Bombyx mori: one gene and its partners. Each later gene encodes a partner of the first gene's protein in a complex. Links are inferred from orthologs where the notes say so. Each region holds a gene or a part of one and is shown on either strand. Other genes may lie near its edges. The genes, in order: transmembrane protein 17, transmembrane protein 231 and transmembrane protein 216.

Region 1 (4,368 bases):
CACTGAAAGATTAAAACGATGTCTTACGGTTTACTATGGCAACATTTCAAAGGAGGAGTTAAATGCAGTCTTCATCACAAATACTGAGTTATAGAACATAATTTCCGTTAAAAATTTTGTTCGTGGAAAGTTAACATCACTAGTCAGATTGTTCCAAAATGAATTTGAAAATGTCGAACCTTTACATTTAAACACTGTACTTTGTAGATCCATTCAACTGTGTCAAAATTATATCATTTTTCCCTTGAAGTTTTCCCAGTGTTTCTACAAATAAAAAACCAGTGCCTTGAAGAGTTTAATGGCAAATACAAATATTTAAATATGAATGTTGAAAACCATTTTAATGAAATCTTATATATTTTGATACCAATAATAAATTTAATAAATATGAGTCAGAGTATTGATTTACTTTTATATGAACGGAGAAGTTTTCTGTATTCCATTTTGTTTGAAGTAGTTACTTAAGAAAAAGTGCAATCATTATTTTAAAGTTATGACTAATATTTTTTGTGTGCTTGACGCTATTTTTTAAAGTTGAATGTAATTTATGACAGTATTGTTTAAAAAAAACTTAATTTACTTTTGTAATTAACTATTATATAACAAGCTATGTTAAATAATTATATTTATGTTTATTATGCCAAAGCTTTGCTAAATAAAGCAATTTTTATTAAATATCTTAAGATATGGTTCCAGCATCAAATGTATTATGACAATAAAGTCTTTTCATTTAAAGTATGTTTCATTTAAAAAACTTTGGTCATTATGCCATAATGACTGATCTGTTTTGTCATGGTTAAAATTAGCATGAACGCACATTCATCCTGGTTTTAAGTGGTTATTGTAAGTATATCAACCACATATTAAATGAGAGTGCTTTGAAGATTGAATTTTCATTGCATTGATACAACAGCTGTTCTATCTGTTCAAAAGAGTACATGCAAGAGTAGTTATCATACCCATCAGTGCCCTAAAGCATGAATTAGGCTATTAGGGAAAAAAAATTTTTTTTTTTTTTTATTAAGCATATGGCATGACCCACCTGATGGGCATAAGTAGCCTCTATCACTCATGGATATCAGCAATGACAGGGAAAACAAAGTTGCTGCCTATGTTTTGTTTGTTTTAAAAACTCAACCCATTAAGGTTTATTTTCTAATTTTAATAAATGAAAAATGTATACTGCGTTTACCTTTGTTTCAAATTAAGAAATCTAAAGTTATGAAATATATAGATATCCTAAGTCTCTTTGCAAAAGAAATTTGATTTTCGATAAAAAAAAGGACATAACAAAAAATGCTTTTTCACATTGACAATGCTATTATTTAATGTTTTGTATTTATCATACCATGATTAGTGCTCATACTAATTACAGTCTGATACTATATAAATTATGCTGCATTCTACCATAATATTACTACAATATTACCTTATATTTTTACTACTCTACTAACTCACTGATTCTGAGTTGTGGACAGGTAAATGCTTTTAGCTAGAGAAGAAGCTTGTTTTAATGCTCTAAACCCGTACACAATCTCAATAATAGTAGTCATCCAAAACATAGCATGCAGCGTTATTTCTGTTGGTGTACTCAGCAAATATGGATGAAAAAGGAAGAAGCTAACTAGTGGCATTTGCATTAAAATTGTCAACATGAGGAATACAGCTAATTCTGGAACCTAAAAAAAAATAGTATATTACAAATTATTATTTTGACTAAATTTTCCTTTTGGGTCCGTCGATTTGGAAGTTCACAATATCTTTGTAGCTAGTACTCATAAATAAAAAGCTTTTTACAAAATTGCAAGACTCACGGTTTACGAGATATAATTTTTTAAAGTTCCCATAAATATTAGTATTTTTAAACAATTTTCTTCCTATTACATTCTGTTATTTATACTATTGTTTTTGTAAATCTCTGCCACTAAGGTATTAATTAATATTCAATGACTTAATGTTAAGGACTGGCAAATGTTTTTATTTTGTCACATAATTAGTAGTAATAACTATGGCTAATTACTTACTCTGCAAGACAAATTTCCATATCTACCAAGGTACAATCGTACAATTTCTATTCCAGATAGTAGCAAAAAAACTGTAGCTGATAAGTATTTTGTCAGGTGGCTAAGTTGATCAAACTGCAAAAATAATTTTTAAAACGCTTAATTGTTTAATTTTTTACACAATGCATATTTCTGTTTGGAAAGTTACTTCAATTTAGTTACTTTGTTCCTCACTTTTTGAAAAATAGTAGTGTTTTATTTTATCACCAGATCTGAATTAAAGGAATGCCATTGTATTGCTGATACATCACTGTCAGCAAATTAATTTAAGTCCTATGAGATCAGGGAGCCCCAAATCTTTTAACTGAGATCTCGTATTACGTTTCCTATTCATAATAAATAGGATAATTTCTAAGTACAGTGAACACAGCTTAGATTTTAAAGTATACCTTCATAAACAAGAAAAACCCTGTCACAAAACACCAGAGAACAAATAGATTTATTTTAAAGTACAGACATTTCTGCAAACGTAGCATAGTTTTATACTCCATTGAAATGTTTAAATGTACAAAAGTACAAATCATAAATTTTTAGTCAAAGTTTATTTATTAGTTATCCACATAGGATTTATTGAACTTTAACAAAATGCCGTTTATTCATTTAATACTTTATCAGCTTTACTCATAGATTATACACTTAATATATTTGCTTTACTCTTTGTTATTGTTTTGTTTTGCACATTTTACAGTTTGTTTGCGTTTTTTTAATTCGTTCACTGGATACGCAAATGTATAGCCCATTAAACAAAAATTGAAATAAAGGCTGATAAGTATTTAAAATGTAAAATGAAACGAAATAAAATAAAATACGTCATTACTTTACATGTTTTTATTCTTTTATTGCCTTAGTAGGCCAACGAGCATATAGCTCACCTGATGATAAGTGGTTACCGTCGCTCATGAACGTCAGCAATGCCAGGGGCATAGCCAAGTCGCTATCAATCATTGAATAGGTAGGTGTAGGTCCTCCAGGCCGCGTTTGATGAAGGACATATCGTAGCGCTCGAGAAACACCGTGGAGGAGAGTTCATTCTAGAGCCAGGTGGTACACAGCTGAATGATCTCTGGAAACGCACTATCGATGAACACAGCGGTTCCAGATTGTATGGATGAAATCTGCTCCGGTGGCGGGAAGTTTTTTTTTATTGCTTAGATGGGGGGCCAAGCTCATGGCCCACCTGTTGTTAAGAGGTTTCAAGCGATCCGTGAGAATGAGATTATCGACAATCTGAGTGGTCTGTCTTTGTATGGGGTCAAATGGTACCTACTACCTGGTAGCCTTGGCCCAGTGATGGGCCTCACGTACTCCACGTGAAGCTGGACTTGTGCTTTGTAAAGCGCAAGTCCAGGCGTGAAATTGAGGACTTCGAACATTTTAGAGGCTAATTTGGCTTTATCTTCCAAATGACTCCAATATCGTACACCGCTCGAAATATCGAACCTAAGAATATACTCGCAGAAAGCTGCAGGCAGGGATACTCAGGGAATATACGAAAGTTGTAAGGATGTATGGCGTGACACCTTCGCCTTTCCAGTTGGTTAAATGGAACTATTATTAATACTACCTGACGATAAGGAGAGAGGCGGGAACCTTCAAAAAATTTGGGACGGAACTTGAGAAGAGGGCCAATAAAAAAATTCATATCCTTTTTAATTAATTTAATTTGATATTCTGTAGATATTGTAGCATATTTTAGTTTATAACTGTATATATGTTTAGTTTATAATTGTATATTTTAGTACTTTAGCGTAGATAGTATGGAGTTGGAGGCGGGAACGGATCCCCCGGATCCGAATATTACTGAGGAGACAACTGATACGACTAACTCAAGGTTTAGCCAACCAATATTTTTCTGTGATGAGTTCGACCTTTCCAATGTATCTGAATTTGTCAACGTTAAATCGAAGAAATCCCAAAAAAAGAAACAACTTGTTAATTCTTTTAAACCAAAGATCTCGGACAAACAACTTTCGTTGCGCCCGCTGCAGCAGGCTTTGGCGGGAAATCTTGCAAATAACGTAAATAAGCTTATAGTGCCTCCTCGCCAAATTGTACAGACCTCACCAGAGCCTACTTCAGCGAGTCCTTCTATGACACCATCTGAGACCCCAATGGCCGACTCTGTTTACAGAAAAAAATACACTGAACAGGATCCTGGCCCATATATGGTCCATGTTACTTTAATCTCAGATTCTAATAGTACTACATCACTGCACCCACTTAAATTTGGAAATTTTCTAAAGAAAAGCAATCTTGGTAATATATTACAGGATGGAATTAAACGAGTAGGTCGTAATCGCCTGGC
Region 2 (4,070 bases), on another chromosome or scaffold:
GAAAAAGATGGAGTGAAACATATGAGAATGAGATTCTATATTAAAGGGATAAGAAATAAAGGTGTTGTTGAACTTGATATGAAACAAGTAAGTTCTGTTTAAATAGAAATGTGTTTAACAACTTAAAAGTTCAAATAACACCATACATCTGAATAATTTGTATACACCTCATCAATTTCTTATAATCTCTGTTTAAAATTTTCTATTTTAATAAATTCATTTAAAATCTTTCCAATTCACCAGTACACTTGTTTTTTCAGAATGATTATGGAAACTATATGTGCAGATATTTGCTGGTACAACTTGATGACTACAGTGGAAAAACATTTATAATTGAGGACAACCGAGCTGAATTAGATAATACCAAACCTGATATCGCATTTCCAACCTTAACTCTCACTCAGTGATATAAAATTAACTATGTAACATGTAAATAGTAAAGTAGATATCGAATAAATGATTAGCAAAATAAAATTGTTTCGTTTCATATTATTATGTAAAGTTTTAGTTTAAAAAATAATAAATATAGTGAGCACTTTCATATTGAAATCTTTTAAATATATAGAATACTATACCTTCTTCTGACACCATAAGAATAGTTTTGGAATATGAATCTTATTAATTAAATTCTTTGAGCCAATGAAACTTAATGCTTATAATATCATTTTATTGCAAACATTAAAACATGTTTATCCTTATTAATAATTAAAGTGAATTTTACAGTGAAGACTAGAAATTGGCACAAATCAATTATTTCGCAGTACAATTTTATAGATCTTACATAAGTTCGTCATTCAAATGTTTTCCAAGATTGTACTTTCCATGACATGAGAAGTCGATTGGTAAATATAAATTCCTTAACTTTATTGAAGAACCAATGGAATATCACTACAAAAGAGAGATATTGAGGCCAAGCCCACTTAAACTCTTCTAGTATACTAGGAGTGTATCTTATTTGCATCTCTGGAATTCTTAGATGAACTTGAACAGTCATAGAATCTGTCTGGCCATTGTAGGTTCTAGAATTTATCGTTCTGACTTCTGTGGTAACTGAAAATAGTTTATTTTTTGGTTATGAATGTAGTTGAATAAATATGCTGTAGGTTTACTTATATCAGTGGTTACTGGACTCTGGTAACATTAGAACTTGAATGCTACTCTGCAGATCACATTAGGCTGACGTATCAATAAAGGCAAACCCACACTTCAAACTGAAATTAATGGCAGCAGCAGAACCACAGAAATAATAGCAGAACTGTATAACTGATTTGTAACTGGTATGGACTTTCAATGCGCCCGAATGGTATAGTAATTTGGGATAACCAGGAAGTTTAGATCTACTGTGGATAGATTATGAAAAATAATAGACAAACTATTATCAAGTAACTTTCTTTGGCCTATTATCTAGCTGTTGAAAGAATGAATACCTGATTAGTTTTGATCCAATGGACAGTGGAGCATTATGTTTTTTATTAAGTAACTTGAGTTTATTTGCCTTACTAAAGAAGGATTATCATTGATAATCAAATCTTTATTAACTCAGGATAAATGTTACAATTTTGTGTTAAAATTACTGTAGGTTTATGGCCTTCTGTCTGTGGCTGCACAACAATAGCCATTATTTTTGTCTTCAATGCTGTTACCAATATTAAAATATGAATAAGCACAAAATGTATATTTGTAAAAATAAATAATCTTACCTTCTCTATGAAAATAATCAGACAGATAATGATCAATAGACATGTAACTTTCCCATTTTTCAATTTCAAATAAAGATCTGTTATATTTCGTATCTTGATTAAACCATTCACAAGGTAAGTGGGTGGTTTGATAAAAATTTAGATCTCCATGAAAAATTAATTCTGATGGTGGTATTACAAACTCTTTGGTAATCAATGCCAAGCTCTGCATTTGTAAAGGGCATATTGTCTGCAAGAAGAAAACAAAAGGATTCTATTAAAGTATTTGTTCCATATTTAAAGCACCTATTTATAAAATATAAATAAACAGAAAAGATTTAGTACCTTTTTTTATTAAATATCTAAAATGTCAAAAATAGTTAAAAATACCTTCAGCTGAAAATCAAGAGATAAAATTAATAAAATAGAAGACACAGTTCTGTCTGGTGGTATATTTAGGTGAAATTTAATATACAGCTCATCCTTTTTGCCATCTCCAGTGAAATCATTTTCTTGAACCTGGAAATACATGTTTTTAATAATTTTATTCATCAAAAACTGTAGTTGGTCATGTTATCAGTATAAAATGTACTACACAGTGTATTTAGTCTTATTTCATAACAAACTCATTGTCTATATAGTTATGTAATTTGTATTTACACAGTACAATTCTTTCGATAAAAATTCATTACCTGCATTTCTGCACATGATTCAGAGCTTTCTTCATTATCATTACCAAACAATCCAATTTCTGTACAAAGTATGGGTTTACTGGGATCCTCAGTTTCGGCTATTAGTACATACTCATACGTAAAATGAACAGTTGGCTGTTCATAAAAACTGTGATATTTCACCCAGAGCCCTGTAAAAATACATATTTGTATTACGATCTTATATTTCGATATCTATTCGGTAATTACTGGCTATTTCAAATAATTTAATTTTAACGATAATAGGACCGTTTCTGTATACTGTTAAGTATTTTCTGGACATGGTTCACTCAGCTGATTTTAGCAAGGCTAAATTGGAGTTCTAACCTCTACTTTTCTGAGCTATAATAAAAGGCAGTATAATATTTAAGATAGACGTAAAAAGAGTAAAGAACATGGCTTTGGAAAGGAAGGTACTTTTATACTGTATTTCGACATTTGAACTAAACAATTTGTACAAGCTCATTTTAAAATATAAAATTTACAGTGTTTTCGGTGTACTAATATGCGTAAAATGTTAAATATCAATAGCATTGACCTGCAAAACAAACCGTTGCTAAGCAACGACTTTTTTAGGGCAGAGGGTTTTTCTGAATTATTTTACAATTAAATGCAAACTTTAAATTCCTGAATCAAAAATATATATGTACTCTAGAAGCGTTAAATTAAGGAATATAAAGAAATAATGATTCAACATCAACTGGTCAAAGGGCGAGCTATAGCTCTCGTTTACATATATAGAATTTTTCTACTCTTTGATTCTAGGATGGTTTATGATCATTTTAGCAATCATAAATCTTTACTGGTCGTGGAGCTTCGTGTGAGTCCATACTTACATCACCCTGCCTATTTCTACCGCGAAAAAGTAATGCATTCCAGTTTGAAGAGTGGGGCAGCCGTTATACTATAACATTGAGACATCAACCTCATATCTCAAGGAGGGTGGGACGCTATTAATGTCGTGATGTCTATGGGCTCCCGTAACCACTCAACTCCAGCTAAACAGTAAGCACGTTCACCAAATTATGAAAGATTAGATTTTTTCTGAGAACGGAGTCCAAAATTCTTCAATATTGATACGAGTTCTCTTCAGAGACACTCAGTAAGAAGTAGATCCGACCTTACGCTTCTAGAGTCAGAATAAATAGGTGTTTATCGTTTATTTTTAAAGAATAAAATATATATTTTATTATTGTAAAATTTTCTACATGCACCATAGCTTAATGTTAAGACGCCCAGGGTTGTGGTTGAAGGCATTTGTGTTGTCTATTGGCCTAAACGACCATTTAATCTTACGTGAACTCATTCATTCATCTACGAAAGTGAACTATCTTTTTCAGCAAGGATCCTGGCGTAGACAAAGGGAGGGAGGCGGGTTTGGTTCATAATGCCGGCCATTCAAACGGACACTTCGTTTCAAGGTGCATATGAATTAAGCTTTTCCGCCAATACAGTATTTAATATACTATTAAATATATACCTATTAGCTTTCTAAATGTTCCGGTACCCTAGTGAACTTTTATGTACTTTTAATATTTAAGTGCACTATGAAAGTCCCGCGTTTTGATGTTTTGAATTCACTGACATCTACTCACTGTAACTTATATTGGTATTATATTCTAATATTAACTCTCAATGACGGGTAATAAGATGGTCAATTTAATATGGAAAATACTTAATA
Region 3 (3,309 bases), on another chromosome or scaffold:
GTGCAAATGGGTTCGGTACTCAATTTGCGAACCCGTTTGCGCTTCCTCCTACACTTGTTTACGAATGTCTCACGAATTTCTCCTCCTTTTTAATTCGTCAATAGAACATTGAAGAGAAAAAGAGTTTTGAATTCTTTCCCAGACATCATTAACAGCCATGCTGTTTTTATGGAATTTCTTTTGATGAAGATACGCTACACAGTAGACGTCACGATCTATGAAAATAGCGAAACGTCCGCTACCTTCGCAATCCTGGGCGCAACTGGTCACACGAATGTGTGGGAGGCTTCGCGAAGGATCGCGGTTCGCGCGCTTTGATGTCTGTTAAAAAACCGACACAGCTTGGAAAACCACAAATGCAGCGAAAACTTTGCTTATTCATTTGCAAATGTCGTCCTACACTTGCGGGTTTGGGTATTCGAGTGAATGTGAGTGACCCGTATAAAATACTGATTAAATTTGTTAATTAAAAAAAAAGTGAAAAAGTGTTAGGTATTTATAAAATTAAATTAAATAATAAACTATAAATGACCATTTCTTTTTTTGTCTTAAAGCACTATTTGAGGCCGAGATGCGATTTCTTAACCAGCATACTGTATTCATCAAACCGCATTTATTGTTCTCAAAGCGTATTGTATAGCTATATCTGTCGCAAGCCAGTAAGGTGTTCCAGTATGAAGAGTCGGGTTGAAGTTAGTCTGTCCATCTCGAAGCAATAAAAATATTGATAATTTACTGGTAGGTTACAGGTAGTAGGACGTATTGGAAGCCCGTATGAGTAGATATAATAATGATCCTGCCCATTTCTACCGCAAAGCAGTTATGCATTTGAAGGATGGATCAGCTGTTATATAATAAAATTGAAACTCTGACATCATGTCTAAAGGTGGGTTCGCCATTATTCTTATGATGTTTGGTGTTTGGTATCCACTTTACACCAGACGAACCGTGAGCTTTTAGACTTCTCTAAATAAAAACACAGTTTTAGTGTAAATAACACAGAAAAAAGCCTTGTAGTAGTCAAATATTTACTGGGCGCTATAATATAGCAAAGAGCTTTTTTTTATTTATAGCTTAGATGGGTGAACGAGTTCACAGCCCACCTGGAGTTAAGTGGTTACTGGAGCCCATAATCTATCTACGACTATCCACATCTACAACGTAAATGCGCCACCCACCTTGAGATATAAGTTCTAAGGTCTCAATATAGTTATATTGTCAGTCTCATGTATTTCTCATGTAGTTGTATTGTCAATCTCATGTATTATCTCAGTATTGTCTATATATCTAATGTTTCTTTAGGTTTAAATATGTAACAGCGGTGATTTATTAACTGTTTAGTATCTGTGGAAGTGCACAAATGTGGGAAAATGAAAAAAAGTCGCTGGACGTTACTTTTCAGGATTCTCCGAAAATTCCATTGAGAAAGTCTCAGTAATTAACCACCATTTTACTGACAATATATTTCATTCTATATTATCTCATATCATTTCATTTAATTTGCCAATTGCCAATTGATTAATGTTCCAAATCAATCAACTTCGTTTCTTTTCATTTCATATTAATAATATATTTTTTAATTTTTTTAATATATAAAAGATTTGGCTGTATGGTATGATACCTGTGCCCTTCCAATTGAAAAAATAAAACTACTACTACTACAAATTTCAAAAAGTGTAAACAAAAACATTGATTTTTATTACATACGAAACCTCGAAACAGCCTCCTCTCAATTTAGAAACTTTTCAATACATTCGTACAATTTTATAAAATATGGAAAAAATGTCGAAAGTAACAAACGTTAATTCGAGTTTGGCTTATGAGATATTACTGTATTTGAACAGTTTTTATTTAGGAATGTTTATCGTTTGTGAAGTCGCAATGGGGATATTGAAGGCTATAAATGTTTCGTATCCAGAAAACGCTCTATTAACAGAAGCCGGAATATTTAGCGCCCTATGCTTTGTAGAGATGATTAGGATCTTTTTGGGGCGTAGAGGAAACTTAGCAAGCAAAAGTAAGTATCGTATATATTCAATATTCTGCAAAAATATATTTCAAGATTCGTTGTTGTACGGAATATGTACTAAATCGCAAAAAAATATTTTGTGTCTTAAGTAAATTAAAATAGAAACTATTTTCGTTTCGTTCAATGTTACTTTTCACCATAATATGTTAACAATGTTTTTGTTACAGAAATACCGGTCTTTCTGTCAGTGCTATTGACGATTCCCTCTGCTGTAGGAGTATGTTATTTTCTAATTTATCAAACTTACATACTTCGGTTGGAATACATCTGGTGTGCCGTCATGTTAATGTTCCATGCTCTCGAGTTTGCTTTTGCAATCTTATTTATTTTTACTGTATGTAAAAATCAACAATTTGATTAAATAATGAAAACCTGAACCTCAAATATTGCAAACATTCCATATTTTTATTAAATATAGCATTAATTCAATTTGATCATTGTAATTACTCTTGTGTAGTAAACTAGGATTACTAAAAGTTAGAAACATGTGAAAAAATATAATCTCATGCCTTATGATTCTCCTTACTTTGTTGTTAATCTGGTAACATTATATTTACTAGTCTGCATTTTTATGTTTCTAGCCATTTGTAACATTAGTAATCCCCTTTGTGAAAACTGCATTAGAATTACTGTGATCATCTTATTATATTATACCGCTTTGAATAAAATCAAGAGCAACATGTAAATTAAGACTGTTTTTTTAACTTTAATGTTCAAAGTTGGCTTTTGATCTTTATGTGTCTGTTAATTAAATATATTTAATTTAATTTTATTGATTTTTAATATTTATAAATTAGAGTTGGTGAAAAATAAAGTATTAAACTAAATAACATTTAACTAATTTATTTTTATTCTAAATTATTACAATGGCAATTCACTCTTCGCTTTCTTTCTTAGGCGGTACTAAATGTTCAGGTAACTTTTGACATTCAATTTTTGTAACTTTCAACGCACAACCTTCTGGCAGATTCCGTTCGATATATTCCAAATATGTGTCGCACGTAGATCCAGTGAGCCTCTGCATATGTATAAACCTGAAGTATGTACGAATTTCATACTGCACTTTGTGTTTCTTGTAAATGTGTACACATTTTAAAAGTGTGTGCCTTTCTTTCTCTGCTTTCCTTAGTGCCCAACTGAAAAAAATAAAACTAACTAGTAGTATCTCTTTTAGCACTAATAACTTAAATTTAAATCTTTAATATGAAGGGTAAAATTTTAAATTGTAATAAATCATCTTCAAATGCCTCTATCTCCCTATATTTCATTATTTCATTACT

Evidence for each region.
Region 2: transmembrane protein 17 (region 1) and transmembrane protein 231 share a complex: the UniProt entries of both Homo sapiens proteins name them as parts of the tectonic-like complex. The link is inferred for Bombyx mori from reciprocal best matches to the Homo sapiens genes TMEM17 and TMEM231.
Region 3: transmembrane protein 17 (region 1) and transmembrane protein 216 share a complex: the UniProt entries of both Homo sapiens proteins name them as parts of the tectonic-like complex. The link is inferred for Bombyx mori from reciprocal best matches to the Homo sapiens genes TMEM17 and TMEM216.

The regions. Positions count from the first base shown.
Region 1 is NC_085116.1:10,340,837-10,345,204, reverse strand, and holds the start of transmembrane protein 17, read right to left. Parts: upstream 2,816-4,368; 5' UTR 2,588-2,815; coding exon 2,453-2,587; exon of another isoform or gene 2,238-2,452; intron 2,139-2,237; coding exon 2,025-2,138; intron 1,680-2,024; coding exon 1,459-1,679; exon of another isoform or gene 265-1,458; coding exon 234-264; 3' UTR 180-233; exon of another isoform or gene 1-179. UniProt on the Homo sapiens protein: Transmembrane component of the tectonic-like complex, a complex localized at the transition zone of primary cilia and acting as a barrier that prevents diffusion of transmembrane proteins between the cilia and plasma membranes.
Region 2 is NC_085110.1:12,598,683-12,602,752, reverse strand, and holds transmembrane protein 231, read right to left. Parts: upstream 2,875-4,070; 5' UTR 2,856-2,874; coding exon 2,717-2,855; exon of another isoform or gene 2,673-2,716; coding exon of another isoform or gene 2,639-2,672; intron 2,542-2,638; coding exon 2,372-2,541; intron 2,199-2,371; coding exon 2,070-2,198; exon of another isoform or gene 2,025-2,069; intron 1,930-2,024; coding exon 1,701-1,929; intron 1,051-1,700; coding exon 791-1,050; 3' UTR 654-790; downstream 1-653. Other genes in the region: mitochondrial import inner membrane translocase subunit Tim21, read left to right, coding at 1-87, 261-407. UniProt on the Homo sapiens protein: Transmembrane component of the tectonic-like complex, a complex localized at the transition zone of primary cilia and acting as a barrier that prevents diffusion of transmembrane proteins between the cilia and plasma membranes.
Region 3 is NC_085132.1:4,411,509-4,414,817, reverse strand, and holds transmembrane protein 216, read left to right. Parts: upstream 1-1,641; 5' UTR 1,642-1,773; coding exon 1,774-2,017; intron 2,018-2,196; coding exon 2,197-2,390; 3' UTR 2,391-2,796; downstream 2,797-3,309. Other genes in the region: mRpS10 (mitochondrial ribosomal protein S10), read right to left, coding at 2,904-3,165. UniProt on the Homo sapiens protein: Part of the tectonic-like complex which is required for tissue-specific ciliogenesis and may regulate ciliary membrane composition.